Linked DNA regions of Tribolium castaneum. The main gene of each other region encodes a partner of the protein of the gene in region 2 in a complex. Links are inferred from orthologs where the notes say so. Each region holds a gene or a part of one and is shown on either strand. Other genes may lie near its edges. The genes, in order: Archease; RNA transcription, translation and transport factor protein.

What was found.
Region 1: RNA transcription, translation and transport factor protein (region 2) and Archease share a complex: the UniProt entries of both Homo sapiens proteins name them as parts of the tRNA-splicing ligase complex. The link is inferred for Tribolium castaneum from reciprocal best matches to the Homo sapiens genes RTRAF and ZBTB8OS.

Annotation. Positions count from the first base shown.
Region 1 is NC_087398.1:7,382,906-7,385,764, forward strand, and holds Archease (protein archease-like), read right to left. Parts: upstream 1,389-2,859; 5' UTR 1,282-1,388; coding exon 1,230-1,281; intron 1,180-1,229; coding exon 1,155-1,179; intron 1,105-1,154; coding exon 708-1,104; 3' UTR 686-707; downstream 1-685. Other genes in the region: sub (kinesin-like protein subito), read left to right, coding at 1-340. UniProt on the Homo sapiens protein: Component of the tRNA-splicing ligase complex required to facilitate the enzymatic turnover of catalytic subunit RTCB. Together with DDX1, acts by facilitating the guanylylation of RTCB, a key intermediate step in tRNA ligation.
Region 2 is NC_087396.1:19,110,114-19,113,495, forward strand, and holds RNA transcription, translation and transport factor protein, read right to left. Parts: upstream 1,959-3,382; 5' UTR 1,873-1,958; coding exon 1,815-1,872; intron 1,763-1,814; coding exon 1,541-1,762; intron 1,493-1,540; coding exon 1,403-1,492; intron 1,354-1,402; coding exon 1,193-1,353; intron 1,142-1,192; coding exon 938-1,141; 3' UTR 808-937; downstream 1-807. Other genes in the region: rab-like protein 3, read right to left, coding at 1-289. UniProt on the Homo sapiens protein: RNA-binding protein involved in modulation of mRNA transcription by Polymerase II. Component of the tRNA-splicing ligase complex and is required for tRNA ligation.

The DNA.
Region 1 (2,859 bases), on a different chromosome or scaffold from region 2:
AGACGAAATCGAGGCTTATAAAGATAAAATCAAAGAGTTGGAAAATAGATCTGAAGTTATTGAACTGAGCTCGGATGAAGAATCGGAAGCTAAGGAAACTAGAAGGAGAGTTACTAACCTTAGGAGGACTTTAGATGAAGGGTTTGGTCGATATCGGGCAGCTGAGGAAAAATGCAGACAACTCGAAATTGAAAATATTCAATTAAAGGAGCGAATTTTTGAATTGGAAAATGAGCTAGAGGCGTTCAGACAACATCACGCGTCGGTGATCAGTGAAGAAATTGAAGGTTCCGAAACGTATGGTGAAAATGGTGTGGCTTTTAACTTATGGGATGATTAAGTAATCGTTGTTTTGTTATTATTTGTTTTTAATTTGTTTTGCCGTTTTAATTTTTACCATGAGATAAATACAATATTTTTTCAGTAAAAGTTAATTTTGATTTAACACCCTTTTCCTTGAAAAATTTTCATATTTTATTGAATCACTACTAAGGCCCTCAATTTTTATAAGTTGGAAAGGCATTTACATAACAATATTTCAATAAAAATAGCGAATTGAGACTGAATTGTTGTATGCGTAAAGTGAGTCTGCTATTTGTTATTTATTTAACTGGACGCAAACTAATAGATGGAAGACATAATTAATTAATTAGTTATCAAAAAGGTGAGAAATAAAATGCGAGTGTTTTAGTAAAAAATTGATTTTGCTAAATATCGATAATAACAAACACTTCAAACTTCTTGTTTTCCGGGTCATTAATTATTTGCATTGCGGAATATGTGATGGCTTTGACCTCTGTGCCTTGTGGATGTTTCCCTAACGTGAATTCTTCCCCATAACATTTACACTTAATTTTCAATTCATCACCTTCTGTTCTAAACTCTGTGATAACTAATTTACTGCAAATTAGAAATGGTTCACAACTAAACAAGAACAAAAGTTCATCCAAAAAATGGAAAAGTAAACCGTCCAAATCGTCTCCTGTTGCTTCAATTTCTGAACACTGTTTAATTTCCACTGTATTAATTTCAGTCATATAACCAAACATAGCAAGACCGCATTGCTCGTATGCTTCTTTTAAACTGTCTCCCCAAGCATGTAATCTAGAAATTGTTAATAAAATATTTTCGGATCTGAGATAAGTATGACTCACTGGACATCGGCAGTGTGATCCAAATCTACGAATCGACATGACATTAAAAAATTATAGATTTTTTTGATAACTTACATTCGTATTTACATGGTGGAAGTGTTAATTCTTCTTTTGTAAATGTTTCCATTTTTTAATTAAAAAAAAATGTGTTCACTTTTTGTGCCTAACCTCAAAAATTTTAGCTGTCAGTCATTTGATAAGTAAGATGTCCTAATCGTGAAGGTGGTAAATCCCGAAACAGCGAACATGCATTGGGTGTATTTTGGGTTGCCTGTATTAAGGTTATTTGAAAGAAAGTAGTCACTAATTTTTTTGCAGCATAATTAAATACTTACTTATTACAAAATCTCAAATATTATTTTTAATTTTAAAATTAAGAAGGTTTTGTTGATTAGATAAATCTGTTATTTTATTTTAACTCATTTATTAGGGTTTTGTTTTAAGAAATTCTTATCAATTAACAACAAGGTCAAGAACATTTATACATTTTTTCATTTACTGTAAATCATAATTAGTAATTGAGAAAATTTGAAAAAGTGATTTTGAAATCCAGTGACTTCTTTCTGAAGTATAGATATTAAAGAAAATTTGTATTGTTTTAACAAAGTTCTTTTATTTTATATTATCTTTTATTAACTGAATGTAATTGCCACATTATGTAAATATAAAATAGTAATATTTGTGTTTTTTTTGTAGGTTTTGCTCATGTATTACATAACTAAATATTTTTGCTGTTAAGGTATGAACTACCTATCTATTATATGCTATAAATTTAATTTTCGTTTTGGATTTTTTTTATTATTTTATGGTGAATTAACAAATACTTTTGCTAAAAATAGTTGATGATGAAGCAACTTACCTTTGCATTGTTTGTGATTCGTGAAAAACCGCCAACGCAAATGAAAACAAAACAGAAAAGAGGATCGATAAAAATTAAATAAACAGTAACCGAGGGAAAGATAATGTAAATAAAATGAAACCGAAATTATTATGAAAGAAAAATTCTCCCGAAATGCTCTTTATTGTCAACTGTACTATCAACAACATTAAACAGTACTAGTTTGAATTTTTTATTTCATCGTTTTTCAATATTATAATACTTTTCACTAATAAAAAAACTTTCAACCTTAACTCAATAATCTTGGGACTTATAGATTAGTTTTTATATTAAATTCCTGCAACTTTAGCTTAATCTCTATACAATCATCATACAACGTTTCCACAAAAATACCTCGATGGAAGAATAAACTTGACTTGCAATTAAAATAGAGAATCTTCCAATAATCCGACCGCAAATATCTGACTCTCGTCATTACCGACCGATGATGCAATTTGGTGTTTACAACAGTGATTTTCGTTATTTTGTCGAACAAAAGAACTATTTTATAAATAATTAGGTACATTCAAGTTTATTTACAGATGAAATGGCTTCATATAAAATCTGGTCATCCCAGTTGTTATCATTAAGTCTTACTTAGACTACTTATAGATATACCTATATACACTAATAACAACACTTGTTATTTGTTAGAAAAATGCTTATTCAGTCATTTACAATATTTCAGTTAATTTTCTTTGGGAATATGTGTCAAAAATGGGGCTTGTGTGTGAGGTCTGTCATCAGACGGTAAAAACAGTTATTTTAAATTCCATTCCTATCAACTATTTGTGCAGGTTGAGTGAAAAGAGCCACTAACATCTACGT
Region 2 (3,382 bases):
TTCGGTTTGTTAAATCATGAACTAGAATCACCCCGTGGCAAGGGTTGTAAAATACAGGTCTTGTGTTTCTGTGATTATTGCTTCCGCCCACATCCCAGAATTCAATAAAGTAGGTTTTCTGGTCCTTTGTCCCTTCCTTGTACTCGTGGAGCTTCACTTCCACTGAACACCCGACCGTCCAACTGGGGGACCTTATGGGCTCGTTGTGTGCGACAAGGTGGACGAAGGAGGTTTTGCCAACGCCGGAGTCGCCCAACACCATAATACGCACCCGGTCTATTGCCGTCATTATTTTTTATCACACAATTACACTTTACAACTGGGAAATATTTGAGGTTATCTGCGTTGTCAATGTCAACTTGACACACAACTGGTGTGCGTGACCGTAAATTTCCAGTCGCTTATTTCAAATAATGAAGGTAAATTTGTAAATTGGCACCGTCAAGTCAATTTACAAATTAAAAACAATGCAAATAATTGACTAAGAGTCACAACACATTGTTTTATGTTGTATTCATGACAAATTGTAATTTAATTGCAATTATAACGTAATTGGTCAACTGTAAAAGTGTAACTTAAGTTCCAATTTAAAGAGCCGGCTCCGGCTTTTTGACAAGTAATTTGTAGGTTATACATACATTTCAAATTATGGGGAACAAGCAAGAGGAGAGTTGTTTAGCTTGTAAAATCACGTCAATTTGTTGTTTAACTGCAATTGGTGGTTACCTCATCTACCATGGCAAACAACCAACACAAAAGTACAAATACTCGTTAACTTCTTTAGGACTAGGTAATTAACACAAAAAGTGCTTCACTAGACATTTATTAGTGTAATTGCAGGTTGTGTAGCGTTAGGAGTTGGAGAAATATTTGATAAATCGCCGTTTCGTGATTATAAGGAACAGAATCAATAAATATTAGAACTGAAATAAACACTTCATTTTCCGACTTTTCCCAGCTTTGTGTCAGTTTTAGGATTAGCTGTGATGTTTTGAACGGCCACAATTAGTTCATTGGCTTTCGTTTGCAAATCTCTTAGATCATGGATGTATAAAATTCTTAATACTTTTGCCGCTTGATTTAAAACAGGATCATTCAAATCAAACCCCAAGTCAGCTTCTTGAAAAGGAAAAGGTGTGCCCTTTAAAAACACATTTAGATTTTTGAGGCTTGATAACTACGCACAAATTACCTTTATTATGACTTCGCTTGGATTGGCTTGAGCTTGTGGCGACAGTCTTGTAGTTACAAGCTTTGCAACTGCTTTTAAGGTCACAAGCGGGTCAGGATGGGGCGTTATATTTAATAGTTGTGCCAATTTTGTAATACCTTCTGCAAATTCTTTACTGTGGACTGAAATTTACTAAAATTATTTACCGAAAAAATCGACTTGTTTACGTACAATCTAATTTATCAAGGGGATTTTCAGTGACAACAGTTGGAACATTAGTTGCCTTTAAGTTCTCAACTGCATGTTTAATGTATACTTCCCCTAAAACAAAAAATTATTTTCGTGTTTTGTGGCTACGACCAATATTACTATTATTATGAGTCTCGATTTGCACAGCATAACCTAAAAGCCACTGGAGTTGTTCTTGATGGCTCTGTAAATTGGGTACACCTAGAGCTTCCTTGTACTTTTGAAAATGGTTAGGCCAATCATTTGACGTTACGTTTTTAAGACCATTTGCCACGTTAGAATCAGCTTTATTAATTTTATTTAATTCCAACCATGCCACAATTTTTCTGAATGTTGCTTCGTCTAAAAATCAGTATTTGAAGTTAAATTAAAATTATCGAGACAACGTGATCACCGTTAACGTTCACATCACACTGTGGGTACTCTAATGCTGATAAGAGCCTTTTAACCATTTTTAATTATTCACGAGTGATAAAATAAATAAAACTTTACCGGTGCTGTCAGTGTCAAAATGTCAATGACCTTGTATGATTCCTGAGAAATCTGTATAAAAAGAAAAATTGTATGAAGGGTAATTAAAACTTAAGTTTTTTTTAATAAAAAAGTGGAAATAATACATAAGTGTTTATTAAAAATGCACATACAGTACAATTAATAAAAATTTCTAATAGCTCGTGCTCAGTCTTTTGTAAAATAAATATTCCTATACTTAAATGCCGCCAGGGCTAATAAAAACCTACATATTACTTTTTTTCTTAAAACTAAGTTATATCATAGGTAAGTGACATAATATACATACTATATTTTGTGTATAACACAACATATAACACCTATAAATAGTTAAATACAAAAATATGGTGGTAAACATTCTCTATCAATTGTCCCAAACAAAATCATTGAAATATTCTCTCAACTCAAACATATTTCGTAACTGATGGTGACAATACGCAAAAATAAAATCAACGGTCCGAAAGAATTTGTTAAATCATAAGTAACTTTCCAATAAATAAAAATAACAATCGGGATTTAATTTCTTTATCACAGGCAATTTGAGGCGACCAATAAAGACTGCAAAGTAATAACGGGTGTAAGACGTAGATAATTACAGAATCGTTGGTCTGATATTGATATAAGAAGAAAACGTAATACTTGGGTACAAATGTTTTCGTACCGAAATATTACTGCCCAAAATCCATCAGTTATAGGGTTAATATACTTGTTAAGTTTGGATATTGTTCAAACATTAAAATCACTAAAAGTCTACATGTTATACTTTCATTTAGAAATGCTGTTGACTATACATTTTGTAAATATTTCGTCTATAATATCCAATCAACGAAGTAAAAGAATTATCACTAAAATCGATATTAAATAAATATCACGCAACTTTCTGATAACAGTAACAAACAATGGCTAGTGTAGTAATCTCGGTGCTGAGATGCGCTGTCATGCTCTAGTTAAAGACTGTTCAACGTTTGAAATTGCATAGATAATCTGGAAGCAGCACAACCCCGCAGTAACAACACGTAACAAAAGTTTACACTAATAGCACCCAACATTATGCATAAATAAAATTAAAATAAGTCTAACAATAACTTAACTTTCAAATAAGAGTAACCGTGAGATATTGAGAGATTACATTTTGAATCGAATTTCCCCTTATGGCCCCAATACATATCAAATGCACTATCCAATAACTAGGTTGAAAAATGTCACAAAAACTTATTTGAGCACATTTACACAATTTCCAACAAGTAAGTACTTTTCATACAAAATCACTACTTAACAAAGTTTTTGAACATTTTTAACGCGATGGCTGAAGTCTCACTCAACAACTGCGCAAAAACAGAAACGATTAATTTGCATGAGTGAATTTTGCAAACAGAACTAGCTAAGTCAGTTTCCAAATATCAAATCAGTCGCTTGTTTTGGAACTCGAATCACATTTTAAAGCTCGATTGT